Cricetulus griseus: one gene and its partners. The protein of the gene in region 7 purifies or fractionates together with the protein of the main gene of each other region. This does not show direct contact. Links are inferred from orthologs where the notes say so. Each region holds a gene or a part of one and is shown on either strand. Other genes may lie near its edges. The genes, in order: Wapl, Usp13, Pds5b, Plk1, Sf3b3, Cdca5 and Smc1a.

Region 1 (3,928 bases), on a different chromosome or scaffold from region 7:
GGTTTTTGGTTTCAGATTGGATTCCAAACCAGGGCCTCACACATAATAAGGTCTGCCACTGAAATATACAGCCTTAGGCCAGTGTAGGCATTTGGTCTTTGGACCTTTGGGTGTGGCTTCAGGCGAACCTAAGCAGAAAGAGAGGAGCCTGAGGTGTGGCTTTTCATTGCTTGCTCCTTCTGTTGGGTCAGTGGATCAGTAGGAAGAGCAGAGAAACGCTCTGGTGGTTCTTTGTATTTTTCTGTGTAATTGTCCCCAATAAACACCCATTTTTCATTTTTCTTGGGTCTAGTGATATAATTACATCCTTGCCTTCAGGCCAGCACCTGTGAATTTATATGAGAATTTTAAACTGTTGGGACAGAGATACCAAATATCTTGTTTTAGCTTTGAAAATCCAAATGCAATGGAGACATAAGGATTTTGGATAATTAGAACTGTACTGATAAGAGATGGTTTTATGAGGGAAATACTCAAATTAATTAAACCCTTTGTAAGTAGCACAAAACTAAAAAAGAAAAAAAATTTTTTTTTTTTTTTGAAACATTCTCAAACCCTCTTAAATTGTAGTCTCATAAGATCAAAAGGTATGCTGGGCAGGTGGATCTCTGAGTTTTAGGCCAGCCTGGTCTACAGAGTAAGTTTCAGGACAGCAGAGCTACACAGAAAAATCCTGTCTGGGAAAAACAAAAACAAAATAGATTGTAAAGTACTGGGTAAGAATTCTCTTTTAATAATGAAAATTTGTCTCTTAAGACTGTAGGCTCAATGATAAGATTCTCTTAGGAGTTGAATCTCTCTCTCTCTCTCTCTCTCTCTCTCTCTCTCTATATATATATATATATATATATATATATATATATATAGGTAGCTTTGCTATAATTAAAGCTTTACTTGAAAAGGGTGATGTGTAGAGGATTCACTTATGTGAGGAAGAATTTGTGAAATAAAAGGTCTTTTCAACCAAATACAGCTTTGCTATATTGGTTTAATTGTTTAAAAAATTTTTTGTCCTGCTAAAGTTGTAGACATTTGTAATTGTGGTGAATTAGAATTTCCATAGTATTTGTGAATTTAGATTCCCAAATAGAGTATATCATACTTGACACTACCTGCTACTTAGCATTTTTGGGTCTAAAAGTAGTTTGCATGGTTTTGGGGGTGATTTGTACAGGGGAAACATGCTCTATGACTGAGTTACACTCTCAGCCCAGATAAGATTCATCCTTGGTTTTAACTGGAATTAAAGCAGGAACTTCTAGAGCCTCTTCAGTTCCCTAAGAAAGTATAGTTAACATTTATCTAGTGTTATCATCAGCCTCTTCTGGAAGATTGCAGTTTGCAGCAGCCTCACTAGACACTTGAGATCTGGTCATAATGCTGTGCAGTACCTACACTCTTGTCCTGCTGCAGTTTATTTGACTTTTAGGCTCAATTTGTATAGTAAGTTATTCTTCTCATCTGCAATTTAAAATCTGTTACATGTTGTAATAATAGGACTTCAATTCTGAAATGTGAAAAATAGACTAACTTTGAGAAATGAAGTTTACATGAACATTTCTGCAAGTTCCCAGGCAGGTATGTGTAGGCATACATGTAGGCAAAACACTCATATACATAATATTCATCTAAAATTTTTTAAGAAATGATTATCTTTATAGAAGCCAGCAGCCTCTTACAGTTTGAACAGTGTCTTTGACTTTTGAGAGCCACACCAAATTACTTATCTTGCATCAAAGCATTCTATATCCCCACCCAGCACAAATGCATTCAGTGAGTACTGGAAGCATGCAGTGTTGACACCAGACCACCTGGGTTTGGAGTCTAGCTCTGCTACATCAGCTCTGCTTAGCTGGCTTCCAACAAGTATTCTTTTAAGTTAACATGATTTCATGAACTTAAAATCTAGAAATAGCCGGGCGTTGGTGGCGCACGCCTTTAATCCCAGTACTCGGGAGGCAGAGGCAGGCAGATCTCTGTGAGTTTGAGGCTAGCCTGGTCTCTAGAGCGAGTGCCAGGATAGGCTCCAAAGCTACACAGAGAAACCCTGTCTCGAAAAACAATAACAACAAAAAAAATCTAGAAATATGTGAAACTTAGGTATCATTTGATATTTATGAGTTTGATATAAATTATATATCTAGCACTCATATGTATCTGGTAGTTACATGATCTATGAAGTTCAAATTTTATTTTGGAAAAAATTTAAAGCCAGACATAGTGATGCATGACTGTAATTTCAGTATTTGGGCAGCTGAAGCAGAGGGATTGCCATGAGTTTGAGCCAATTAGGGATATTTAGTGAATTCCAGGCCACTATGGGCGCTAGCTACAAAGAGCCATTCTCAGTAAAAGAGAAAATATTTGTTTTTGTTTTGTTTTATGTTAACACAAAATAAAACTAGAACACATGTTTAACAGCCAGGTTTTGAAGTAGAAGGTGAGGATTAGAGTAGCTTTTCAGCTGTTGCTGCTTTTAATCTTTCATTCATTTCTCACCCTAACCCCAATATTATGTTTAAAAAATGGCCTTAAGTTTTCTGATAACTTGAAATACTGGAAAGCTAGCTAGTTTTGATTACCGTTTCAGAAAACTTGGATTTTACAGAGGACTTGCCTGGTGTGCCTGAGAGTGTGAAGAAGCCCATAAATAAACAAGGCGATAAATCCAAGGAAAATACCAGAAAGATTTTTAGTGGCCCCAAACGGGTAAGTAAAGCACTATTATTTATTTATCATTAGAGGACTCATGTCTTATTTAGGGTTTCTAATGCTGTGAAGAGACACATGACAACATTTAATTGGGGCTAGCTTGCAGTTCAGAGGTTCAGTTCATTATCATCATGGTGGGTCATGGCGGCGCACAGGCAGAAAATGGTGCTGGAAAGGAAGCTGAGAGTTCCACATCTTGCACAGGAAACAGGAAGTGATCTGAGACACTGCGTCGTTTGAACACGTATGAGACCTCAAAGCCCATCCCCACAGTGACAGATGAATGGACGAGCATGCGTGTGTGTGTGTGTGTGTGTGTATGAGAGAGAGAGAGAGAGAGAGAGAGAGAGAGAGAGAGAGAGAGAGAGAGAGAGAGAATACTATTAAGCTGTAAAGAAAAATTAATAAAAATTAGCAGGAAAATGGACTTAGATTAGAATATGTGATATTAGATGAGTCCATACAATCTCAAAAAAAGTGTTCTTACATTTGAAGTCTAGCCATTAAAAAATATATGTACACACATATATACATACATATGTATATAAATAAATGTACATGTGAGCACAGTATAACATGTAGGAAAGAGAACAAGTATTGCTAAATGTTAGGGAATGACGAAGGACTGAATTTCTAAGCTATTCTGTAAAGAAGAGAAGTTCAGTGAGTTAATCTTTGGGCCTATGTTAGGTGTTTGATTTTTTTTTTTTTAATTTGCAATGTTTTGTATAATAAAGTGGTAAAATTTAATTAAAAAGAAATTCCATATTAGATACATAGTTTGCAAGTATTTTCCCAGTTCTTCGTGTTGCCCCCCCTCCTTGCCAATTTTTGATTTTGTTTTTTGGTTTTTTCGAGACAGGGTTTCTCTGTGGCTTTTAGAGGCTGTCCTGGAACTAGCTCTTGTAGACCAGGCTGGACTCGAACTCACAGAGATCCACCTGCCTCTGCCTCCCGAGTGCTGGGACTAAAGGCGTGTGTTTAAAAAACGCCCTGTGCCGACTTTTTAAATTTTTGATGAAGCACAACTCTTTTCCTTTTGTTGTCTGTGGTTTTAATATCAAAGCTGAGGATTCATTGCCAAATTCGGTGTAGACTTTCAAAACTGTTTTTCGCTTATGGTTTGTAGTTTTATTTAGGTTTTTGATCTATTTTGAGTGAATTTTTGTGCATACTGTAAGGTCGTGATCGTGATCCACCTTCACTTTCAGGCATT
Region 2 (3,928 bases), on a different chromosome or scaffold from region 7:
TAGGAGTTTTCAAACCCAAATGTGCAACAAGGATAGGGAAGCAAAAGGCAGGAAAGAAGAGCTGCCGGGTAGAGGCCTACACAGCCTCCTCTCATGGTGGGCTCCATTGTGTGTAATAACATAGTTCAGAAAGACATCCTCTCCCATATGCATGATGTGCATGTTTGGGACAGTCCAGAGCTGTGGGGTCAGTGTGAAATGGTCACAGAGGCCACCATTGTCCAAAATAGAAGTTAAAGGGAAACCCAGACTGTTTACATGGGAGAATGTGCTGCAGCTTCATGGTTTTTGAAATCCAGAAGTCTAAATTTTAAATTTAAATCATGTCCATATTTTAAGAAACACAAAATGGAATGAGTCCAGACCACAGATAGCCTGGTTGCTAGTCTGTGAACACTGGCTTATCTGACCTATTGCTGTCCAGTGTGATGCCTTTGTCCCACCACTCTCTGCCCTTTCCCTGAGCCCTCCATTAACTTTCATGTGGCTTGACAAATCTGCTGTGCTCTGTGTCCCTTAGGCTGCCAAGATACATGCATGCAGTGAACACATGCAGATTTATAATGAGCTGATTTGGGCTCTAGAGAGTCCAGTGAATATAATCTTTTGTTTTGCAGATGTTTCTATTGATATGCCAGACCTACTAGATATCAGCCATCTTAGAGCCAGGGGCTTACAGCCAGGAGAAGAGGAGCTTCCAGACATCAGTCCCCCTATAGTCATTCCTGATGACTCAAAAGGTACCATTTCCTACTGGAAGGATACTCTTTCCTTACCACCCTCTTCCAGCCAGGAGGAGTTACTGTTTCACCATTAAACTGCTCCCTGTCTTTGACCTAGACACATAGGAATGAAGCATGGCTGCAACTGTATACTTCAGACTCATACACTATGAGTCATTGATTTGGGCCCTGGTGGCAGAGGCTCCTGAAAGGGCTTACAGACAGGTAGTGGTGAGCAGTAGGGAAGCCAGGATGGCTTTTCATACTTCCCCTATAAATCATGTCCAGGCCAGAAACCTTGCTCTTGGAAATAAATGCAAGGATTGAAATTATTTATCTCACTGAGATGTCAAAACTTCTTGTTTTATTTGCCCAAAATCTGCTGTTTCCCCTCATTACTGTAATTAATGAACTGTTTTGCAGGTAGTGTGTGTGGGGTAACCAGGAGTGAGAGGGTCTGGGAATATCCTGGACTGATGCAGTTTCTTTTTTCTAAAACTATTGGTGGTGGCTAGCTCTTATTTATCATCTGTTCTTTCATTTCCAGATCGCCTGATGAACCAGTTGATAGACCGTAGGTATCTTTAAAAGTGTTTTTTGGTGTCTTACAGTTGTTGCTAGTATGATATGTTTTAAAGATTTGTTCATTTTTATTTATACATATGGGTGTCTTGCCTGTGTGCATGTCTGTGTACCATGTGAATGCCTGATGCCCACAGAGGCCAGAAAAGGGTGTCAGATTCCCTGAAACTAGGGTTAGAGAGGGTTGTGAGCCACCATATGAGTGCTAGGAACAGAAAAAACCTGGGGCCTCTGGAAGAGTAGTAAGTGCTCTTAACTTCTGAGCCATCTCTTCAGCTCATAGTGTAACTTTTTTTTTTTTTTTTAAGTAGTAGTTCAGCAAAGTAGCATTGTTCTGTCCTGGATATATGTGGTTGTTCCTGGGTGGAACTGTCTGTAAGTTGAGTAAGCAACAAATGTAGACCAATGAAATGCTGCTTAAGTATCCCTTATTGCTCAGGAGGATTAGTGTAGGCTTGAAAGCTTGCAGTCCTGTGGGGTTTTGCTGCTTAGGACTGTGTGGCCTGGAACAATTTGTTTCTTATTCTATAGGCCTCAATTACCTCATTTGTAAACTGAGGTAATAATACCATTTTTTTTCTCATGAATAGCTCAATAGTTAGATGACATAAAAAGAAGTCAAATTAAGACCCAACAAAATGGATCTGTCTTCAGGTAGTCTGTAGATTAGATAAGGGGTTGAAGAGTAATGAAGACAGGAGGAAGTGGAAAATTCTGTTTTTCATGGTGGGATATCCTGCTGTGCTCTGTAGCCTCAGACATTGATGAATCCTCCGTGATGCAGCTGGCTGAGATGGGCTTTCCTTTGGAAGCCTGCCGGAAGGCTGTGTACTTCACTGGAAACACTGGAGCTGAGGTGGCCTTCAACTGGATTATCGTGCACATGGAGGAACCTGGTAGGTGGCCATATGGGAGTACTTTGGAGTTCATGTCCCCAAGGATGTGTCCCCAAAGATGAGTTTTCAGATGGTAACATGCTACTGTTTGGGCAAAGTCACAATCTTAATCTCTTAAACAACAGCTTTCTTGGAATAACTTCCTCCTTAAAGGTGTCCACACTTCGTTGACCAAAAGATCATTAGAAAGATGTGGTGTTTATTTTAAGCTTGAAATAGAAAACTGAAGAAATGGAGGCCCTTTCCTCAGCTTCTTCTTTTGTCTACTTTCTGAAGATGTCATTTATATATCCACCTATCAGAAGTGTACATTCACATGGATTTTAGTCACTTTACAATTAAGCAACTGTCTAATTCTAGAATATTTTTGTATAACAAAAGAAATGCTAGATAGGAGGTATCTTGGTGGTTTGATTGTAATTGGCCCCCATAATCTCATAGGGAGTGGCACTATTAGAAGGTGTGGCTTTGTTGGTGGAAGTATGTCACTATCTGGGTGGGCTCTGAGGTTTCCTATGCTCAGGAAGCTGCCCAGTGGCTCAGTCTACTTCTGTTGCCTGTAAGATACAGCACTTTCAGTTCTGGTACTGTGTCTGCCTGATTGCCTCCATGTTCCACCATGATGATAATGGACCGAATCCCTGGAACTATAAGCAAGCCACCCCAATTAAATGTTCTCTTTATAAGAGTTGCTGAGGTCATGGTGTCTCTTCATAGCAATAGAAACCCTAATTAAGACACTGCCTCTCCCATGTTCTTACTCTCTCCAGTGCTTAATCTTCACTAATCTACTTTCTGGGTACCCTACAATTGTTATGAATTTGCCTATTTTTGATAATTCATATGAATGGAATTGTACAACATGAGGCCTTTTGTGTCAGGTTTCTACCGCTTTTCATAATGTATTTAGGGGTCTTATGCTGTAGCATGAACAGCACTTCCCTTTTATGGCCATGTAGTGTTCCATGTATAGCCATACCACAGTCTGCCCTTTTATCAGAGGATGACAGTCATTTGGGTTTTTTCTGCTCTTTGGTGTTTATTAATGGGGCTGTAAACATAAACTTTTGTGCATATATAGATTTATGATTTTGTTTCTCTTGAGCAGAATTGATGTAGTTCTATATTTAACTTTTTAAAAATTGTCAATTTTACCCAGTGGCTGAACCATTTCATACTCTTACCCATGATGAATGAAGGATTCAATTTCTCTGAATTCTCACCATTAGCAGTTTTGTTATAGTGGCTTCTGGGTGTACCATGGTGGTCACTGTGATTTCAAGAGGTATTTCCCTACTGACTAATAACACTGTGGGTATAATTAGTTCTTTGCCTTTTATTGTTAAGTTCTAAGAGTTCTTTTTAAATTTTAGATACAGGTTTCCTCTCAGACACATTTTTTTTTTCTTTTTTGGTTTTTCAAGACAGGTTTCTCTGTGTAGCTTTGGAGCCTATCCTGTCACTCGCTCTGTAGACCAAGGTGGCCTCAAATTCACAGAGATCCACCTGCCTCTGCCTCCTAAGTGTTGTCAGACACATAATTTGCAGAGATATTTTTCTGTTCTATGTCTTCACTTCTTTGATGATGTCTTTCAAGTAGACAGTTTTTCAATTTTGATGAGGTATGATACATCTACTTTGTTTTATGAATTCTACTTTCTGTGTCATATACAAGGGATCATTGCTTAACCCAATGTTACAAAGACTGAATCTTGTGTTTTCTCTTTT
Region 3 (3,928 bases), on a different chromosome or scaffold from region 7:
AAAATAATGAGATCAGGGGCTGGAGGGGTGGCTGAGCAGATAAGAGCACTGGCCACTCTTCCATTTGACCCAGGTTTGGTTCCCAGCATCCCATAGCTGCTCACAGCCATCTGTAACACCAGTTTTGGGGGGATCTGACACCCTTTTCTGGCCTCTGCAGGTGCTGCATACATGTAATCTATAGACATACATGCAGGCAAATCACGAATACACTTAAAATTCAGGGGCCAGAGTATTGGCTCAGTGTGTAAAGGCACTTTCTATCAGGACTGATAATCTGAGTTTGGTCCCTGGGACTAACCTGGTAGAAGGGGAGAACCAACTTCCTTGGGGTGTCCTCTGTTCTCCACACGTGTTGCAGTGCTTGAATGCATATGCACAGTAAATGAAAAGTGTTTTGTTAGGGTTAGGGTTTGGAGGTTGGACAACCTCCAAAGCAATACAGAGAAACCCTGTCCCATTAAATTTGCACTCTGATAGAGGTCATAGAGCAGTGTTGCAGGGCCTTTACTTTGGAATGACTTCCTAATCACATTCATTTGCATTCATTAGGAACTTTTTGAGAAAACATAGAGCATCTTAATAATGCTCATAATAACTTGACATGGGGTGTGTATTTTATGTTTGAAGTTTTACTATCTATGTATAAACTTTGTTGTTTGTTTAAAAAGTAGTTTTAACAAGGATTTTTTTTTTTTTTTTTTTGTAAAGTTGTACCTTCTTATTAGAGCTTGAGATTTGAGTTCAGCAGTTTGTAAACAAATAGGTTTGTTTTGAGACAGGGTTTCGCTGTGTAGCTTTGGAGCGTGTCCTGGAACTCACTCTGTAGGCCAGGCTGGCCTTGAACTCACAGAGATCCACCTGCCTACGCCTCCTGAGTACTGGGATAAGCAAAGGATGATGCAGAAGACTAGAACTTTCTAAGCTTACGAGAGCATGTGTTTTACTTCATTCAGCAAGTCTCTTAAGTGCCTCCTTTGAGCTCTGCACAAGTTTACACACTAAGTGAAATGGTCAAAAATCAGTGCTTATGGTGTTAAGGGGAAGAAGAAGTCAAGTAAGACATGTAATTACTTTGCATGCTATTGCTACAGAGAGAAGTAAAGACGAGGGCAAGGAAGGGCAGGCCAGGGCTAAGCTGCATGTGCTAAGCTGAACATACTAACAACAGGTTTTACTTTCCATGCTTCTGCTTCAAAATGGAATCTAGTTTTCAAAACATCATGTGGTAAAATGAATTTATTATTTATTTCCTTAATTTATTAAATGAGCTACATTGCTTACTGATTTGGTGCTAAATATGATAGGAAAAATTATCTTTAAAATGAATGAAGTCCTTGCTTATGAAGTTATAATGCTATGCAATGAAGCAATCAAAAAAGGCTTTTCAGGTTATTTGATTGTAGAAGTAATTGCAGATATCTCTGTTCAAAGGCTTGATAGCTCTGAAATGGATCACAGTGAAAATGAAGATTACACAATGTCTTCACCTTTGCCAGGCAAAAAAAGTGACAAGAGAGACGACTCTGATCTTGTAAGGGTGAGATGCTTGGTTGACTGTGTGATGCTGTTAATAGTAATAGTTTTAGTCATTTTTGCTCTTTAGCTAGATATTAAAATCGCAGTCAAATGTGGCATGTGATATACTTTTTGTGACTTTAGTTTCAAATTTGATATTATAGTTTAGTTGGAGTTTATGTGATTCTTGTCTTCAGATAAATAAAATAATCTAATTCTTTGTCTTTAGAGTCAAACATGTTAGTTCCATATTCAGAACTATTTGCTTTCCTTTTTCTTTTTAAACCCAGTATTTTAGTCATGGCCTTAGGAAAAGAGTGGAATGTAGGTCCCAAAGTCTACCTTCTTCTTTTAGAAAAGCCCTTGTTAAGTTTTAATATATTAGTAGAAGTGACTATAATTTGTAAATGTTACTCGAAGACAGACAGATTTGGTGATATTTCAATGAGAAACGGAATTCATACTCCAATCCAGCCCAGCAGATTTGGTAACTGGGCCATGTGGACTCCCCAGTTGAGCTGTGAACATTTCTGGAGTAGCTGACTGAGCTTTCTGAGTCTGTTTTCTTGTCTATAAACTGGATAGTTTATGCTTTCAGCCTAATAATAATAATGAATTATTATTCATTAATTGAATAAATGAATTAGCCCAAATAAATTGTTGATGCTGTCTCATTGTTAAAATGATTTATGCCGTTGAGCAATAGTTACCATATAACAAGTATGTCTGACTCTAATTCAGAAGCAGAGGCAGGAGTTATTAATAAAATAATTTTTTTTGCTTTCTTTGGAATTTTATTTGCCCTTTTTGTCTCCCACTGACATATTTCCATTATTTTCAAGTTTCTTCAATTTATCTAGCCAATTGTTTTATAATTAAAATTTTTGCTAAATCCTTATTAGCTATACTGTCAACTAGTGTTAAAAGTTTGACCCAGCGGGCTGGCTTAGCAGTTAACAGTAGTTGGCTGTTCTTTCAGAGGTACCAAGTTTGACTCTCAGCACTGTCTTTAACTCTAGTACCAGGGCATCCAAAGTCCTCTTCTGACCTCCACAGGCACCAGATATTCGTGCAGGCAAAACACTCTTACACACTTTTAAAAGTTTTACCCAAGTAGAATTAAAAACTAAAAGTTAGAGAAATGTAGGATCTATAAAAGAAAGGAGTCTTATTGCAAGGTTTCTAGAAGATCATTTTTTTAAGTTAGTAAAAATATTTATATTTTTTTATTTCTGTCCTAGTTAATCAAGAAAATCTTTATTGTAATCATGCTTAAAAATGGAGTAATTGACTAGTTCATGATTTCTTTTTTTTTTTTTTTGGTAGCAGAAACAAGAGTGTTTGAAATTTGAGGCCAATCTTGGCTTTATAGTAAGCTCCAGGCCACCCTGAATGCCACAAGGAGGCTGTCACAGGCACACTTGCCCATGTCAAACACACACACACAAACAACCAAGGGCCAGGGGTGTGGTTTATGCTCAGCTGTCCTATACAACGCCCCAAGTTTGATTCCCCAGCACTCGAAAGGAAGATACAGAAAGAAGGGAAACATGCCCATGTATATGTGTTCGTGCACAGTACTAGCATCACTCTGCATTTTACTACACTTCAGATGGGTCCTGTTCATCACAGTAACTTCTGTCGTACTGAAAGATAGGGTGGGTATACAGTCTCAGACAGACCCTTAAACAGAGTAGTTGGCACTTGTGTGGGAGAGCTCAAAACCAAGAGACTTATGTGTTCTTCTGTGAGAAAAAAAAAAAAAAAGTTGAAATGGTGATAGTTTTCTCCTAGCTGAATATGTAGTAAAACTTCGGTGATTTTTTTCTAATGTGGAAAAATTAGTGGACATTAAAAGGGGACAGTATAACTGGCACCAGCCCAACAAGACGCAGGTGTGTTTATCTGTGGCCAGTGTACTGCTGCTGCAGCCCCTAGACACTTTTTCCTAGGGTGGGCAAAGAGTCTGTAATGTTAGAAATTAAGTTCCTACAAGGAAGTGGGGATTCTATCTTCTTTACTCACCTCCATCAGATTATCCCCCAAAGGCCTCCTCTCTCATTGGGATATAAAGGTTTCAACACATGAGCGGCACAAACTCAGACTATACCAACAAGAAAATAAAGGGTAAATATATTTAAAAGAGTAGATGAATATAAGTAAAAGTATGAGGTTTCCCAGAAAACAATCCAGACAAAAGAAATACCAAGAATACCACCACCACCTGGGGCTATTATTTTTGAAACAGTCCCATGTTACCCATTCTGGCTTTGAACTCAGTATGTAGCCTCTGATGCCTCCCCTTGTATATGCTGGAATTACAACTGCCTGATTTTATGAAGTGCTGAGGATCAAAGACAGTTTTGTGCGTTCTAGGCAAACGTTCTAGGCATTCAGTCACTTCCCCCAA
Region 4 (4,719 bases), on a different chromosome or scaffold from region 7:
AGACTTAAAATAAGATCAAGCAGATCTTAATCTTTATAATCAGACTGCCACAAAAGAGATGATGGGGGAATCATTCATATTTTGCACCTGTGGAATGGCAGACACTCAGCAGAAAATATTTAATCCTCTCAATTGTCAATAAAGTAGGGATTTTCACAACCCATTTTACAGAGGAGGAAACTAATTATCAGAGAAGTTGAGTAAATTTGCCTAGTGCTGCACACCAGAAAATTGGCTGAGCTGCATCAAAAGCCAGCTGTTATCTGGGTGCAAAGTCCATCTTATATGCCTTTGTCCCCATGTCCAGGGTGGCAAAAGCAGTTGACTCAGTGCCAAGCACCTACCTGGTGTGTTCAGAGTTTCCACAGAAGTCAGACGGGCAAGTAGGCAAAGGGAGTGCCTGGAGAACGGCGGCCAGAGTTGACTTTTTTAGGAAAGTCACTCACCTGCACTGTGTGGCCATTCCTTTTAAGTGTTGTAAATTTTTTTTTTTTTTTTTTTAAATGAAGGCCAACAAACACCCCTGCTGGGCAGATTTGGCCCTGCTACTTTGCTAGCACTCTCCAACCAGCCATCCCTCCCTCTGACTAAAAAAACTAGTTTTCTCTATTTGGAGCAACTTAGGACAAGCCAGGTAACCTTGCATTCATGCTCCTAAATTTGCTCCGCGAACCTGGCCGGGCCGGTGCAGAGATCTTGCTCTGCTCCTCTCCTCCCCGAATTCAAACGCAGCGAGAGGGGGGAGAGAGCTGATGCTTTTCTTTTTTTCTTTTCTTTTTTGGGTTTTTCGAGACAGGGTTTCTCTGTGGCTTTGGAGACTGTCCTGGAACTATCTCTTGTAGACTAGGCTGATCTCAAACTCACAGAGATCTGCCTGCCTCTGCCTCCCGAGTTCTAGGATCACCTTGTGTAGGAATCACCTGACAGTCTTGTTTGACCTGCAGGTCAGACCTGGGCGGTTTCTTTCCTTCGAGGGTAGGGGGGAAGGAATGTTGCCTGGTAGCTGAGGCTGGCCTTAGGCTAACTTGCAATCTTGAACCCACGCTCCTTCTTAAGGAGTTCCTGGGTGTTGCAGATACTGCTGACCCCTGGGTTTTACTGGAGAAGTCTAGAGCTCCTTTCAATTCGGGCTCCGGGAGTGGTTGCCACAGAGCTTCCTTTTGCCTGCCAGACATGCTGGGTTTGTTCAGGTTTGGGTTTATATAGACTAGCCAGGGAGACGGCAGTCGAGGGCGAAGGCGGTGCACTGCCAAGCTACCTCTAGGCCTGGAGTTTCAGATCTAGAAGGCCAGGAGGAGTGGAGGAAGGTGTTAGTTAGGTCCTAACTGGAGAAGCCTCTGGAGGAGGGGCATGAACCACAGGAGCATTCTCTGGCCGAGGAGCAGAAAGCCGGACCGAATTCTGTCCCCTGGGTATTTCCGCGTATTCCATCCGCTCCTAGTTTCCCAGGGTATCCCACGTGCATTTAATCCTTAAGTCCCAGCCCATCAAGTTTCTCCTCACAAGATCGGGGGTTTAAAAGCGGCTGCGCCGTAGAGCACTCCCATGGTGCCGCGCGCTGGGCGGGTTTGTATTTTAAATCCCCGCGGCCAATCAACAACGCGCAGGTCCTTGTAACGTTCCCAGCGCTGCGTTTGAATTCGGGGAGGAGCGGAGCAGGGCAAGATCTCTGCACCGGCCCGGCCAGGTTCGCGTAGCAAATTTAGGAGCATGAATGCAGCGGCCAAAAAGCTGGCTCGAGCACCAGCCGATCTCGGGAAAGCTGGGGTTCCTGGAGATGCAGCTACCGGTGCCCCAGTGACCGCCCCGCTGTCGAAAGAGATTCCTGAGGTCTTAGTGGACCCACGCAGCCGGCGCCAGTATGTGCGGGGCCGCTTTCTGGGTAAAGGAGGATTTGCCAAATGCTTCGAGATCTCGGATGCAGACACAAAGGAGGTGTTCGCAGGCAAGATCGTGCCGAAGTCTTTACTTCTCAAGCCCCACCAAAAGGAAAAGATGTCTATGGAGATTTCTATCCACCGCAGCCTCGCACACCAACACGTCGTAGGCTTCCACGGCTTTTTTGAGGACAGCGACTTTGTGTTTGTGGTTTTGGAGCTCTGTCGCAGGAGGGTGAGTGTTTCTGCTGTGGTGTTGGGGCGACCACACCGGGAACTTGCTGGCAAAGAGGCATCGACGCCTTGGAGTGGCCTAGAGGAGTGCTTGGGTTTCAAGCAATTATGAAGGGGCTCCTGGTGAGGGTGTTTGGCATTCCGAGCTGCTGAGGCCGGGGGTTGAGGGCAAGCGGAACCCGGGACCTGTTGCTATTATTAGGGAAGGTGGCTCCTGCACGCAAGACTGCCAGTAGGTGCAGGAAATGGGTGTTTAAAGTGATTAACAAGGGTCCCAAGCTACGGCTGCCGCGGACCTAGAACTTCCGGAGTGGAGTGGGGCAGGGTCTGGAGTGGGGGAGGGAGGAGAGGCTGTCTGGAGTCAGACCTCAGCTTTCAGGAAAAGGAGAGGGTCTCCTGCTGGGAGGAAGCCCCTAAATAAGGGGTTGAGAGAAGACGCTGGGTAAGGGTACTCGTTAACAGGAGAGGGGTCCTGTGAATGATAATGGCCTGACCAGTGTATGGACAGAACCATTAGGAGCCTGCCAAGACATAAGAATTATGGGTTAATAAGTGGAAGAGTTAGCTAAGCCTGTACTATAGGCCGAGCATTTATAATTAATATAAGCCTCAGAGTAGTTATTTGGAATCGGCTGGTCGGGATAGGAAACTTCCGTCTATACTTTACTCCCGAGGGTTTAATCTTGGCCACATCCAGCTGGCCACCCTTTTCCTTGGGCTTAACTACCTTCTTCCCTCTTCCTCAGTCTCTCCTGGAACTGCACAAGAGGAGGAAAGCGCTGACCGAGCCCGAGGCACGCTACTATCTACGTCAGATAGTCCTGGGCTGCCAGTATCTGCACCGAAATCAGGTCATTCACAGGGACCTCAAGCTAGGCAACCTCTTCCTGAACGAGGATCTGGAGGTGAAAATAGGTGAGGTGCTGGGCCTGCGGGTGTCTGGTGCCAGTACAAGAGGTGGCAAGGAGGGGAACTCTGGGAGAATGGGAGCCAGAGAAGTGGAAGGTGGGTGGGAAATGGAGGTGCTGCCCTCCAGAAAGCCTTCTTGTCCAGAAATGGAAAGTAAGTGTCCCACAGGCCAGTGTTTTGCTGTCCCTTTACTGAGCTGAAAAGCACCTTTTCCCTTGAGACTCTGATTTGCCTCAGTCCCTATACTCCTGTCACTTTTCTTAAACTTGTCACAGTCACAAAGAATATTTACTTGATTCCCTAGTGCATCCAATTCTGCTATCCTATGTATTTTAAATTTCATATATGTGGGGTTCGAGATAGAAGGTAACTTTCTGGAGTCAGTTCTGTTCTTCCATTGTGGGTTCCAGGGTCAACTCAAGTTGTTAGTCTTAGCGGCAAGCACCTGTACCTACTGAGCCATCTTACTTCCCTAGCCCTGCTATCTAAAGAGGAGTGTAAAGGGCAGTGGGAAGGTTCGGGAACAGAGACTGGAGTCTTGAGGCACTGGCTCTCTATGGTCAGTCCTGAGGCAGTTGTCTGCAGCCACAAGATGGCCTAGCAGCTAATCACCTCTCTTCTTCCCTCTGTCCCAGGGGACTTTGGGCTGGCAACCAAAGTGGAATATGAAGGTGAACGAAAGAAGACCTTATGTGGCACTCCTAACTACATAGCTCCCGAGGTGCTGAGCAAGAAGGGACACAGTTTTGAGGTGGATGTGTGGTCCATTGGGTGTATCATGTAAGTTGGGAATGGACTCAGGAGCTATTGGGTCTCAACAGGATTTTCTGAGGCATTTCATCCAGTTGACCTTTCCCTCTGGATCCCACATGAAGCCCCTTTTCCTTATTTATCAATCTATAGCATTCCTGTAGCTTGGACTTATGGTCCAGGGAAGGGACCAAATGTGTCTACACTTCTTCCTCCAGCTCCTTGCTGCTTACTAAAAGCATGCACTAACCCAAACCATCAATACCTCTGAGGGTTTGTTAGGATGTGGAAATCTCAGTTCTGGACCTGGGTCTAATAAAATCCCTGGCTGACTTTCAGTAAAGCTTTGGAAACACTGATGAGTGCTGATGGGAGAATCAGATCAGCAGAAAGGTTCATGGTAGGCAGAAGCTCCATCATGGTGCTTGTGCCTGTGGCAGATAGCAGTGGCCTCTGCGGTTCTTGAGGAGTCCTCTATTACTGCAGGCCAGAGCTGGGGAATCTCTAGCGCTTGGTATTCAGTGTTGTCACCTGCATTCTTCTGAGGGCTTATCCCAGCCATTGGCTTCTATGAGACTGAGCAGACTTGGAGATCAGCCTCATCCGTTCTGAGTCAGTGAATCCAGCCCAGCTCCCTTCCTCTAGACAATGACTTCTGCATTTGGACTTTTCTGGGAATTTGAGCAAAATCCTTCCTTGTGCCTCCAGGTACACCTTGCTAGTGGGCAAGCCACCTTTTGAGACCTCATGCCTAAAAGAGACCTACCTCCGGATCAAGAAAAATGAATACAGCATTCCCAAGGTAATGGCACCATAATGCTTTAATTTATTTTATGTTCCACCCAAAATCTGATCACTGAGCCCAACTATATCCTGGGGACAAAGATGAGTCAGCCCTGCCTCTAGTATAGCCACAGGGAATGTATGTCTGAAGGCTGACCTTGAATTT
Region 5 (3,928 bases), on a different chromosome or scaffold from region 7:
GTAGATGACATTCATTCATAACTGTTTTGAGTAAGGGAAAGAGTAGTTAAAAGTGCTACTGTTCACTCTGGTTGCATCCCATTAGGAAGCTTGTGAAGTCTGGAAATATTTGTAATCCAGTCTCTGTAAGACAAAATGAGGTTTAGTCCTTTGTTATAAACATAGTTTATACAGGAAAAGGATAATGGCTCTCTTCCCCATCCCCTTCTTTAGTCACTAATTTTACAGATAAGGAGTTAGGGCCATAACAGTCATCCTTTAGCTGATAGAGATTCCCCTTGAAGTTAGTCTATTTGACTCCACTATATTGCTGCCTTCTTGCACTGGTGGATTCTGTTTGCATCATAAACATTCTTGCTTCATCCTTGAATCTGTCATCCCTAAAAACCTTGTTCCTTTTTGTGGAAATGATACTTAGAGATACCATAGTCAGTAAATATTGATTTTTAGCTGTGGGTCTGTTTTTAAATTATGAAAATAATTTAACAAACACAAATTTTGATATACAGGATGCATATACATGTATGTATAGTGAGAAGTAGTTTTTACTTAGATGCTTAGTAACTGAGAGAATGAATGAACTGTTGATTATTGGGGTGTTATATGATTTGTGTTATATTTTTACCAATAAGGTAGTTATACTTTTACCAATAAGTTACATCCTTCAATTGTCTGTTAAAGTAGCCAAGGAAAAATCTCATAATTGAAAAGTTTCCATCATAAGTAGGCTTTACCTGTTCATATCTTTTTGATTAGAATGGTGTGCTGCTGAGAACTGTTCTAGACCCTGTCACTGGGGACCTGTCTGACACTCGAACTAGGTATCTGGGGTCCCGTCCTGTGAAACTCTTCCGAGTCCGGATGCAAGGCCAGGAGGCTGTAAGTAATAAAAAGACATTTGGATATTGGTGCCAATAAACTTTTTGACTAATTCATTTGTAGATGTTTTGATATTATCTCTGTCTTGATTGGGAAATCCTGGGTTCTTTGGGGGGTTTCAGACGATTTCTTTGTGTAGTCCTGGCTGTCCTGGAACTAGATCTTATAGACCAGGATGGCCTTGAACTCACAGAGATCTGCCTGCCTCTGCTTCCCCACTGTTGGAACTAAAGGCATACATCGCCACTGCCTGACTTAATCTAGAGTTTTCTAAGGGGTATTCCATGACATGGCACTGTGACTTTATGAGGCTATTGGAGGTTTCAGTATTGAACCTTTGAGTCTTTTCTTTAGTCTGGGCTATCAGGGATGGGAAAAACTGGACTCCTTCCATTCAAGGCAGGATTATAGTCAAATTGTGACTCTCCTGCCTAATAAGAAAGAGCCTTGTCTTTGTAGTTACCCTATTTAATTCTACAACTGTCCAGCCTTGTAATAGAATCTCTCTCTCTCTCTCTCTCTCTTTTGGTTTTTTCGTGACAAGGTTTCTCTGTATAGCTTTGGAACCTATCCTGGCCCTCGCTCTGGAGACCAGGCTGGCCTCAAACTCACAGAGATCCACCTGCCTCTGCCTCCCGAGTGCTGGGATTAAAGGCATGCACCACCAACATCCAGCCTAAAATCTCTCATTTATACTCCAGAGAATTATGATTGATATAGTTTGATGTTTTTGATTTTTCTATACAATAAGCCTTGTGCTCTCTCTTCTTTGGGCTCCCTTTGCTGGCTTTGTAGGTTTCTAAAATTAGAGTCTGCTGTTGGGGTTATATGTTTGGTCAATATACAATGTTTGAGCTTTTCCCACTCTGATTAGGGCTCTTTCCTCTCCAGGTTTTGGCCATGTCCAGTCGCTCGTGGTTAAGCTACTCTTACCAATCCCGTTTCCATCTCACCCCTCTATCTTATGAGACTCTGGAGTTTGCATCTGGCTTCGCCTCTGAACAGTGTCCTGAAGGCATTGTTGCCATCTCCACCAACACCTTGAGGTGAGAAAACATGTTTGGAGCCCAGCAGGAAGCCTTTCTGCCAAGCATTCTGCCTGTGGTTCTGCCAGAGTTGGAGTTTATACAATGATGGCTGACAGCTGCCTCTTTTCCAGGAAAGGGTGTTGCACTTGAAACAGGATTTCAGAACCTGTGAGCCAAGTTTCAATGCTTGGCATTTAGCTTCTGTTTAGACTTTTTGGAGCCAAGTTTTAAAACTTATTACACTATAGTCTTTCTGTTTCCTGGTGAAATGGTCGTGTTACTGGATTGGTTTTAGAGCAAGTGTTAAATCTCTTAACAGAATTAAATCTTAATTAATTAATTTGTTGGATTTTCCAGACAGGGTTTCTCTGTGTAGCCTCAGCTGTTATGGAACTAGTTCTGTAGACAAGCTGGCCGCAAACTCAGAGATCAGCCTACCTTTGCCAAGTGTATTTTGGTATTTTCTTTTTTCTTCGTTGTCATGAAGTCTTTTAAGCACAGAGCTTTTATCTCATGCTGTCTAATGTCATTGTTAGAGCCTCAACAGTTGTTTGCTGTGGCTGGTCATGGTTCATCTCATCAGTTCTTAGGCTGGGTGGTAACTTATTTAACTCCCTTGTCTATTCCTATAGGATTTTGGCATTGGAGAAACTTGGTGCTGTCTTCAATCAAGTAGCCTTTCCATTGCAGTACACACCCAGGAAATTTGTCATTCACCCTGAGAGTAACAATCTTATCATCATTGAGACAGACCACAATGCCTACACTGAGGCTACAAAAGCTCAGAGAAAGCAGCAGATGGCAGAGGTAATTACTCTGTCCTCCAAAGGTGCAGTTTTAAAAAAGCCTGCCTATGAAATGGTTTAGGAAAGTTGAAATTTTAAACATCTCTAATTGTCTTGCGCACACACGCACACCCTCCCTCCCTTCCTCCCTCCCTCCCTGTCTGGAGATAGGGTCTCAGACCATAACTCTGGCTCACTTGGAACTCTGGGTGATCCTTCTCCCCAACTTCTCAAGTGCTGGCATTATTTGTGCACTAGCAAACACATCTGCAATATTTGTTGTTTATTTTTTAATTATTTTGTGTGCATTGGTTTGAGGGTGTCAGATTCTCTGGAACTGAGTTACAGACAGATGTGATCTGACATGTGGGTGCAGGGAATTCCTAGGGCTACAAAATAAGAGATAAAGTTTTGGGGGACCCTAAAGCGAAAACCATAAACCAGGACCTTTAAGGGAAGTTTTTTACTATTTTATTTGCTTTTGGGAACTTTCTGTGACCGAGGACAAATATGCTATCCTGGGTTACTCAGAATTTAGCTCCCAGTGTGGAACTGCTCTCTAGCTCTTAAGCCTCCAGAAGATGCTGTGTTATATGATGCCTGAATTTGAGCACAGATGTCGTTATTTCCTCTACAGCACCACCTCGTCTAGAAACTATTAAATAACCAGCTGTGTGGAAACCATATCCAGTTGGAAAGAGAGGAGATAACTGGTTTGGCTAGGGAAAGCAGGAAGGCATTTCTGAGTTTTCAGAAATGCAGATAATTTGCCACAGTTAATGTTCTTTTTGGCATTTTCTGCTCAGATGTAACTACTGGTATTTGATTTTCCCATTTAATGATCTCCTTATTTGTGCATTTTTCCTTGACTTTTTTAATTGTGTGTTTGAGTGGTTGAATGCAGACATGAATATGGTGTTCTGCACCTTTTGTAGAAGCTGAGGATCTAACTCAGATTGTAGGCCAACAGTGCCTCTGCTGGTGGAGTTGAACCTCTGTTTGGGGGATCCTGGTCTTAGGTGATAGACTTTTTTTTACTGCTTTTCCTTTTTTACCTCTTCTTGCTTTCTGGATTTAGGAAATGGTGGAAGCAGCAGGAGAGGATGAGCGGGAGTTGGCTGCAGAAATGGCAGCAGCATTCCTTAATGAAAACCTCCCTGAATCTATTTTTGGAGCTCCAAAGGCTGGCAATGGTCAGTGGGCCTCTGTGATTCGGGTGATGAACCCTATCCAGGG
Region 6 (3,453 bases), on a different chromosome or scaffold from region 7:
TAAAGTGCTTGCTATGCAAGCATAGAGATCTGAGTTCAGGTCTCTAGCACAAACATAAAAGCCAATGTGGCAATATTATCTGCCTAGAACCAGGGAAAGGGTGAGATAGGCAGATCTGGGTCTTGTTGGCCAGTTGAGCTGAGATGATATTCTAGGTTCAGGAAGGGCTCTGGAGGAAATTTAAAAGCCTAAATTTCAGCAGAGGATGAGCTGGGACGCTCACATCTGCACAACAGGCCAAGGAATCACATCTTTGATCTGCTTCTCAGGGGTGCCCAAACTAGGAAACCCTAGTTTGGAGGCACAAGGCATCAGCTGCTGGGTGGCATCTAGGAACAGCTATTATACCTGAGCCACTGGCTCCTATGATGGATGGAGCCTTAGGAAAAGAGGGAGAGGGATGAAGTGTAGTCAATTCCATAAACCTCCCCTGGGACAGGGGGGCTTGGGCCTTCATTTCAGGAAACCCTAGTTTGGAGGCACAAGGCATCAGTCATTGGAGGGAGGCCAGGTTGGCAAATTTTAAGAGGAACAGCCCTGGTGACACAGTCCAATGACATGGCATCCAGGGCTTCACACCAGTGGCTCTGTCTTTGACCAAATAAAAAGCAGTCTATAAACAAAACTCTTTAAAAGTTTATTTGACATCAAACCTTTCCCCTGGGCTGTACATTAGTTCCTCAAAGACAGACGGGTCTGTAGTGATGGCAGCAATCAGAAGGTCCAGCTCACGGTCCACAGGGACCAGTGAGGACAAATTCTTCAGATGTGCTCCGCTCAAAACCATCCTGGTGTACAGGTGCTTGCTTGCAACTCTCATTCCATGCAGCTTCTTCTCCAATGAACCTGCATATGTTGGAAGTCCAATGCCCTTTGAAACCATATCTTCTACTATCATCCAGAGGAGATGGTAGGCAGGAAGCACTTCCGCAGAGACCATGAGACATCTACTTTTGTTCCCAGCAACCCCCACCCCCGGGAATGGTCTCGTGTGAAAGTGTAATAGTCAAGCTCACAGCAAAAGCTGTCATCAGTGCTACAGCTGTATGGCTCCTGAGAAAAAAGCCACATCCCAGAGCCAAGACTGTGCAGTTCATTTTGAAAGAAACAGATGTGGGTGAGGAAAGGGTGACCAGAGACCACAAATCTCAAGTTGGTGGCATCTGGAGCCCATACCATGAAGTATACTTACTTTGCCCTAGACATCAGTACCTCATTCACCAATGTGTCAACAGCAGAACACAGACATGAACAGCTCCTACTTAACAGTCACTCGTGTTAAAAAAACAAACAAAAAAAACTATGACTACCTCCTTCTTTCACATCCCAGACTCCATATTCAGATTTCCTCAAGAGTTTAACTGTCTCTAGCCTGTGAGCTCCCTATCAGACTCTAGGACTCCAAGCCACCAACAGAGGGCAACACCAGAGAGATAACCCACGATGAACTTGTTTCTGACAGTGCAGGATTGTAACAGAATTAGCTTCTCATCCCCAATACTGTGAAGAAAGTCCAGGGTAACTAGCCACAATATAACAAGGGGCCAGCTACACCTTTCTGGGTAACAAGTCCTGCTCTACTCAAAAGTCAATATGTACAGGGAGAGGGGAGAGCCTAGCCAGGTGTACCCCCACTTTATCTCATTCAATCAGAAGATCAAACTGTTCAGCAGCTTCAAACTCAGCATTCATGGCCTTAGCCCACTCATCCAGCTCCGATTTCTGGTAGAAAGAAATGAGGGCATTTGAGTGGGGAAGCGGCCACATTGCCCAGAGAATGTTACTTATCCACACCTCAGGAATTGCCTTCCCTCAAAACCTGGAGTCCTGCCCCCCTCCCCCCAACCAATACGGTGCATCTGTGGGAGAGACCCCGCCCCTTACTCACTAGGATCTCCGGCACCTTCTTCCTTCGCTTCTCTTTCATGACTGGAGGAGAGATTCCAGGAAGCGTTGTGTCTGGAATCAAGGGCTTCGAAGATACTTTGGGGATCTCAATTAACTTTGAACTCACGACAGGTGAGACTTGGGGCAAGTCTTCAAGTCCCTCAAAGCCAAAGAAGGATCGGCGGCCAGGGGTGGAGGTTGAGGCAGCATTGAGCCTCTCAAGCCGACTGTATGATCGCCTGACTTTCTGGGACATTTCCAAGTCTCTGGTGTCCAGTTCTCTTTCCTCAGAGTTAGACTCAACATTCTGAGTATACAGCACTGGGGTGCTGGTGGGGGTACCAGGGACACTACAGGTCTTGAAGAGGTCCTCCTTTGTGGGTACCTTGAGAGGAGGGTTGTTTTCTTTTTCCAAGATAAAAGAGATCTGTATCAGGACAGGCGAGAGAACTCTTGTCAGCTCGGGGATTCAGGATGGAAAGACTGCCCACAAAGCACAGGATTTCTACGTTTCTTGTGTATTTTATGGTTGACCTTGTGCATGCTAGACAAACACTGTGCTGAGGAGTTCCATCCCCAGTCCAGGACAGATTTTAAGCAACAAACAGTCATAGAGCACATGCCCAGAAATGCATAAGCCCTGGGTTCTACCTCCACTGTTGGAAAGAAAAAAAGAGATAATCACTACTGTTTTGGAGAAGCTGACTTAGGACAAGATTCACTACATTTGCTGCCACCCTCAAATGTACCTGGCATATAGCAACAATTTGCTACTTGACATAAAGTTCCAGCATACCTAAACTGGCTTGACAGCCTCCTAATTGTTTTGCCTGCTTCCAGGGTCATCTGCCATATAGCTTCTAAAGATTTTTATAAGATGTTCATTTGACCAATAAATATCTATTAGTGACCTGTCCCACACCAGGGAATGTTCTGGGCACCGGGAATATATCAGGGAAAACTTAAAACAAAACAAAACACTGGCACCTCAGCACTTTCACTGTGGCACTGAAAACATGAGGAAAACTTGGGTGGGGGTGGGTTAAAAAGCAGAACAAGCTGGGCGGTGGTGGCCAACGCCTATGATCCCAGTACTCGGGAGGCAGAGGCAGGCAGATCTCTGTGAGTTCAAGACCAGCCTGGTCCACAAGAGCTAGTTCCAGGACAGCCTCCAAAGACACAGAGAAACCGTCTCAAAAAACCAAAAAAAAAAAGGTTCTTTTGGGACTGGAGAGATAGCTAAGAGAGCACTGACTGCTCTTCCAGAGGTCCTGAGTTCAATTCCCAGCAACCACATGGTAGCTCACAACCATCCGTTATGAGATCTGGTGCCCTCTGCTGGTGTGCAGATATACATGGAGGCAGAATGTTATATACATAAATAAAAAAAAAAAAAAAAAAAAAGCAAGGCAGAACAAGGTGAGTGGTTGTAGTGCATGCCTTTAATCCCAGCACCCGGGAGGCAGAGGCAGGTGGATCTCTGTGAGTTCGACCAACCTGGTCTACAAGAGCTAGTTCCAGGACAGCCTCCAAAGCCACAGAGAAACCCTGTCTCGAAAAACAAAA
Region 7 (4,494 bases):
GGACTGGAGAGATGGCTTGGTGGTTAAAAACACTTCCCCATCTTCCAGAGTACCATCAGGTATTTTACAACCACCTGTAACTCCGGCTCCAAGGGACCTGATGTCCCGTGATTGTGGCATACATACATACACACATACTTCACAAATAAAAATGAATCATTAAATAGTTACAAATCTGGGTGGTAGTGGCACATGCCTCTGATTCTAGTACTCAGGAGGCAGAGACAGATGGATCTCTTGAGTTCGGAGGTCTGCTTGGTCTACAGAGTGAGTTCCAGGGCAGCTAGAGCTACACAGAGAAACCCTGTCTGGAAAAAAAAGTTACAGGAATAGCTGTGGAGACCACCTTCTGAAAATGGCACTAGCCTATAAATTCAAACTGTTGCCATACTATAAGGCCACTAAAGGGAAGCCTCAGGGTTGCTAAGAGCATCACTTAGTAATGAGCAGGCATAAGATAATAGAAGGTGGATGAAAGGATGAAGGCTGGAAATGAGCAATGAATGGATAAGGGCAGGGTATTAAGAAGAGAGAGGAGGGCCGGGCGTTGGTGGCGCACGCCTTTAATCCCAGCATTCGGGAGGCAGAGGCAGGCGGATCTCTGTGAGTTCTTTTGAGACCAGCCTGGTCTATAAGAGCTAGTTCCAGGACAGCCTCCAAAGCCACAGAGAAACCCTGTCTCGAAAAAAGAGAGAGAGAGAGAGAGAGGAGGGGAACGGAGAAGCCAATGAGGGAGGTAGACAAAGGAGATGAGAGTGAAGAGAAAGATGGGGATGAAGGTACAGTGCCATAGACATATGATGCAGGCGGAATGGGATTGGGGAGAAACACGTAGTAAGGAGAAAGGGGAAAAGGACAAACTGGAGCACTGGCTTAAGGACTTGGACCCCTGGTGTTCACACAAGACACCTTTCTCAGTACAGAATTCTAATTTTCAAGCTCGTAAGTGGATTGGGTCCAAGTTGGCTCTAGGATTTACATGGCAGCCTTTGAATTCCGCTTTGGGAAATAAGAGAGAAGCAGGCGATAAGGGCAGTATCTCAGAACACAACTTTCCCCAACTTCTATTTCCGTTGTCAAGGAGTCTAGGAGTGTCCTCATCCTCCTTCACACTCCAATCTTACCTCACTCAAGTCCTCCCTAAGATCCGCCCTTCTAGTCCAAACTGCCCACCCCTCCCAGGGTGCCTTCTAATTTCCGACTGGAGCCCTAGACAGCCCAGACTACAAACCACCGCCTCCTACTAGTCCTTAGCAACGGGGAGGGCATAACCTTGCTGTGACTTCTGTCTCAGCAAGCGTGGGCTCAGGCCCCGCCTGCCTTCTGATTCTCTCCCAAAGCGATAGTAGTCCTTCTGGGGACTAAAGCTTCCCCAGTTCAGTCCGTTACCGCTTTGACTGTTGCAGAGCAACGACAAAGGGGGGCGGGGTCAAAACACCCACGCACGAGCCGGAAGTGACTGGCCTCTGGCCCCGGAAATCCTCATTGGCTTGTACTTATTATCGCGAGGTTTACCGTACACCCGGCTTGCACCGCGGTATTTCCCGCGCGGGCTAACCTCGGTTCCCAGGAGTAATCTGCGGCCTCGCCTACGGTAGCGCCGCTGCCATGGGGTTCTTGAAGCTGATTGAGATCGAGAACTTTAAATCGTACAAGGGTCGACAGATTATCGGACCATTTCAGAGGTTCACCGCCATCATTGGACCCAATGGCTCTGGTGAGATGATAAATCCGGCTGCGGCCCTGCTGGCGTCGCGATCCGGTCCCCCTGTCCATCTCCAGAATAGTACAACCTACCCCGTGCAACCTGAGACGCTTGAACCCTAATATGTTCCTTGCTCTCCTTGAGGGGGGATTCGACTCGAACTCTCTCCCGCTTCTGCCATATGCTTAACTCGAGCCCCTTCCCAAATGTCAGGTGGCCGAGTCTTGTGCAAACCCCCTCTCTGGGCAGAATGGTATGGGCGGGACTATGGGTTGCCTCGCCCACAACCCCTCCCGCCAAAACACGCTTTCCTGGAACTTGCTGACAGTTGTTTGGCCTGTGGCTCCTTTCTGCTCTGCGTTGTACCAGGTTCCTGGTCTCAAGTTCGACACATTTGGGAAATTTTGGGAATGTTGTCTCTGCCTTGGCATTCGGTCCCAAATAGTATACTTTCTGCTTTAGCCAGCCCCACTCCGCAAACGCGACTCTCACTGGAACGCTCGTTTTTCCCTGTGTGCAGCTGTGACACTTTTGGGATTTTAGACACAACACTTCTCCCAGCAGAGTGGGATTCCGTTTCTCGCCCCTACACACCTAAGAGATGTTGCCTTGATTTGCCGCTTTCCTACCAGGAAGCCCTAATGAGCCTGAACTTGTTTGTTTGCCAAATTTGTTGAGTGCTTCCGGTTTTATCGGTTAAGTTTATGCGGAAAATAAGTCAAGTCCGTGATCCCAGGAAACTTATTTAGAGGAGAAAGAAGTTAAAGTACAAAATATAATATTCAGGCCGTTTTAAATGCTCTGAAAAAAAGGGGTTAAAGTTGATAGCTTAAATTGACTTTGGTAGTAGGTAAGCCTACTTTTCCAGACTTAAGCCTGCTATCGCAACATCTTTTTTTTTTTTTTTTCCCCGAGACAGGGTTTCTCTGTGTAGCTTTGGAGCCTATCCTGGCACTCGCTCTGGAGACCAGGCTGGCCTTGAACTCACAGAGATCCACCTGCCTCTGCCTCCGAGTGCTAGGATTAAAGGCATGCGCCACCAATGCCTGGCAATCCAGCTGTTTTTAAAAGGCCCTTGGCCCGAGTCCTTACCCTCTCTATTATTTTTTTTTTTTGAGACCATATCTTATGGTTTCAAATTTCAAATTTCCTTATGGTTTCAAATTTCCCCTCCCCAAGTGAGTATATTCTACCACATCTTCCTTCTGCATATCTTTCAAAGTTTGGCTCTGTGAAGCATCCCTTGAACCCTTGGTTCCCACTTTATAAATTGCTCTTTCTCTCTGGCACACAGACGGAAATTTCCCTCCCTCCCTCCCTCCCTCCCTTCCTTCCTTCCCCTTCCTCCTCCCTTTCTTTTTGGTGTTTTGAGGCATGGTTTCTCTGTGTAGCTTTGGAGCCTGTCCTGGAACTCACTGTGTAGATAGATCAGGCTGGCCTTGGACTCACAGAGATCCACCTGCCTCTGCCTCCTGAGTGCTGGGGTCAAAGGCATGTGCCAGCATAGACTATTTTCTGTCACAAATTTATAGTACCTGTGTCTGTATCTTCATCACTAGTGTATGAGTGTCCTCAAGAAGCCATTTCTTGAGATGTTTTGTTAGTGAGACTTTGTTAGTGTTCACGAAGCACATTAGAAAAAATGTTTACAACACTGAAGAATTGAGTAAAAAGGCTTGTAGTTGTAAGGTGTTATCCTTGAAAAAATCAAGGAAGAAGCTCAAAGGTTGGAAATTGATACTTGAAAGATGAATTCCAACTTATGTGCTAGTTCTGCTGTAACTGGAAGTGTGGTTGAATCTAGACTGTATAACAATACATCTGTCCTTCCATCCACCCATGGCACGGTTTCTCTGTGTAACAGCCCTGGCTGTCCTGGAACTGATCTGTAGACCAGGCTGGCCTCGAACTCACAGAGATCCACTTGTTTGTGCCTTCTAAGTGCTGGGATTGAAGGTGTGTACCACCACCCTGCGGATCTGCTGATTGTTGAACGCCAGGTTGATCTTGGTTTTTTATTGTTCATTTGTTGAGATAGGATCTCATTTCAGACTGGTCTTAAATTCTTACTTACTTCAAGGATGGCCTTCTTATCTTCCTGCCTCCATCTCCAGAGTGCTGGAATTACAGGTGTTCACTTCCACCTGGTGTAATACAGTGTTTGGGTTTGATCTGAAGGCCTTGTACATGCTAGATAGGCACACACTCAGCAGGGTCACATCCCCAGCCTCACAAGGTTTATGTTTTTAAGGTGTTTAACAAACAGTAACAGAATGAAGGACAAATGAGCAAGGATCTTGGAGCTGGATGTTGTAGGGAGACTGTTTTTATCACCCTGTCAGTTGAAGTAAAGAACTCACTGACAGTTTAACTTGAGGAATGACTAGGTTTCTTCCTCTTTAAAGTAGAGGAAATGCCTATTTCCTAAGACTTTTGGATAAGCTAAATTGGGTAATTAATGTGAACATGAATCACAAAGTTGCATGAATCATGTGATGTAGTATTTTTAAGAAAATAGCTGATTCTGCCTTGGTATTTTAACAAGTATTAAAAAGAGTTCAGGATGCTGTCAGATGAAAGAGAAGGCTGTGGAGATGGCCCAGTCTGTAAACTGCTTGCCACACAAGTATGAGGACCTGAGTTTGAATTCTCAGTACCCACTTAGAAAGCTGGGTGTGAGCCAGGTGGTGGTGGCGGCACATGCCTTTAATCCCAGCACCTAGGAGGCAGAGGCAGGTGGATCTCTGTGAGTTCAAGACCAGCCTGGTCTACAAAAACAAAAAAAAAAA

The links.
Region 1: the proteins of Smc1a (region 7) and Wapl purify together in Homo sapiens (affinity purification with mass spectrometry; 7 studies listed by BioGRID and IntAct, with this or other methods). This does not show direct contact. The link is inferred for Cricetulus griseus from reciprocal best matches to the Homo sapiens genes SMC1A and WAPL.
Region 2: the proteins of Smc1a (region 7) and Usp13 purify together in Homo sapiens (affinity purification with mass spectrometry; 5 studies listed by BioGRID and IntAct, with this or other methods). This does not show direct contact. The link is inferred for Cricetulus griseus from reciprocal best matches to the Homo sapiens genes SMC1A and USP13.
Region 3: the proteins of Smc1a (region 7) and Pds5b purify together in Homo sapiens (affinity purification with western blotting; 8 studies listed by BioGRID and IntAct, with this or other methods). This does not show direct contact. The link is inferred for Cricetulus griseus from reciprocal best matches to the Homo sapiens genes SMC1A and PDS5B.
Region 4: the proteins of Smc1a (region 7) and Plk1 purify together in Homo sapiens (affinity purification with mass spectrometry; 3 studies listed by BioGRID and IntAct, with this or other methods). This does not show direct contact. The link is inferred for Cricetulus griseus from reciprocal best matches to the Homo sapiens genes SMC1A and PLK1.
Region 5: the proteins of Smc1a (region 7) and Sf3b3 fractionate together in Homo sapiens (co-fractionation; 3 studies listed by BioGRID, with this or other methods). This does not show direct contact. The link is inferred for Cricetulus griseus from reciprocal best matches to the Homo sapiens genes SMC1A and SF3B3.
Region 6: the proteins of Smc1a (region 7) and Cdca5 purify together in Homo sapiens (affinity purification with mass spectrometry; 7 studies listed by BioGRID and IntAct, counting the BioPlex papers as one, with this or other methods). This does not show direct contact. The link is inferred for Cricetulus griseus from reciprocal best matches to the Homo sapiens genes SMC1A and CDCA5.

Annotation. Positions count from the first base shown.
Region 1 is NW_023276807.1:184,661,921-184,665,848, reverse strand, and holds part of Wapl (wings apart-like protein homolog), read left to right. Parts: intron 1-2,590; coding exon 2,591-2,709; intron 2,710-3,928. UniProt on the Homo sapiens protein: Regulator of sister chromatid cohesion in mitosis which negatively regulates cohesin association with chromatin. Involved in both sister chromatid cohesion during interphase and sister-chromatid resolution during early stages of mitosis.
Region 2 is NW_023276806.1:116,475,331-116,479,258, reverse strand, and holds part of Usp13 (ubiquitin carboxyl-terminal hydrolase 13), read left to right. Parts: intron 1-617; coding exon 618-740; intron 741-1,269; coding exon 1,270-1,296; intron 1,297-2,056; coding exon 2,057-2,200; intron 2,201-3,928. UniProt on the Homo sapiens protein: Deubiquitinase that mediates deubiquitination of target proteins such as BECN1, MITF, SKP2 and USP10 and is involved in various processes such as autophagy, endoplasmic reticulum-associated degradation (ERAD), cell cycle progression or DNA damage response.
Region 3 is NC_048597.1:86,593,142-86,597,069, forward strand, and holds part of Pds5b (sister chromatid cohesion protein PDS5 homolog B), read left to right. Parts: intron 1-1,434; coding exon 1,435-1,540; intron 1,541-3,928. UniProt on the Homo sapiens protein: Regulator of sister chromatid cohesion in mitosis which may stabilize cohesin complex association with chromatin. May couple sister chromatid cohesion during mitosis to DNA replication.
Region 4 is NC_048596.1:78,505,649-78,510,367, reverse strand, and holds the start of Plk1 (serine/threonine-protein kinase PLK1), read left to right. Parts: upstream 1-1,620; 5' UTR 1,621-1,710; coding exon 1,711-2,112; intron 2,113-2,857; coding exon 2,858-3,026; intron 3,027-3,655; coding exon 3,656-3,800; intron 3,801-4,478; coding exon 4,479-4,572; intron 4,573-4,719. UniProt on the Homo sapiens protein: Serine/threonine-protein kinase that performs several important functions throughout M phase of the cell cycle, including the regulation of centrosome maturation and spindle assembly, the removal of cohesins from chromosome arms, the inactivation of anaphase-promoting complex/cyclosome (APC/C) inhibitors, and the regulation of mitotic exit and cytokinesis.
Region 5 is NC_048596.1:187,212,244-187,216,171, reverse strand, and holds part of Sf3b3 (splicing factor 3B subunit 3), read left to right. Parts: intron 1-756; coding exon 757-879; intron 880-1,770; coding exon 1,771-1,925; intron 1,926-2,539; coding exon 2,540-2,714; intron 2,715-3,770; coding exon 3,771-3,928. UniProt on the Homo sapiens protein: Component of the 17S U2 SnRNP complex of the spliceosome, a large ribonucleoprotein complex that removes introns from transcribed pre-mRNAs.
Region 6 is NC_048596.1:53,258,595-53,262,047, forward strand, and holds the end of Cdca5 (sororin), read right to left. Parts: intron 2,315-3,453; coding exon 1,889-2,314; intron 1,723-1,888; coding exon 1,642-1,722; 3' UTR 847-1,641; coding exon of another isoform or gene 817-846; 3' UTR 617-816; downstream 1-616. UniProt on the Homo sapiens protein: Regulator of sister chromatid cohesion in mitosis stabilizing cohesin complex association with chromatin. May antagonize the action of WAPL which stimulates cohesin dissociation from chromatin.
Region 7 is NC_048604.1:107,483,508-107,488,001, reverse strand, and holds the start of Smc1a (structural maintenance of chromosomes protein 1A), read left to right. Parts: upstream 1-1,608; coding exon 1,609-1,717; intron 1,718-1,797; exon of another isoform or gene 1,798-1,941; intron 1,942-4,494. UniProt on the Homo sapiens protein: Involved in chromosome cohesion during cell cycle and in DNA repair. Central component of cohesin complex. The cohesin complex is required for the cohesion of sister chromatids after DNA replication.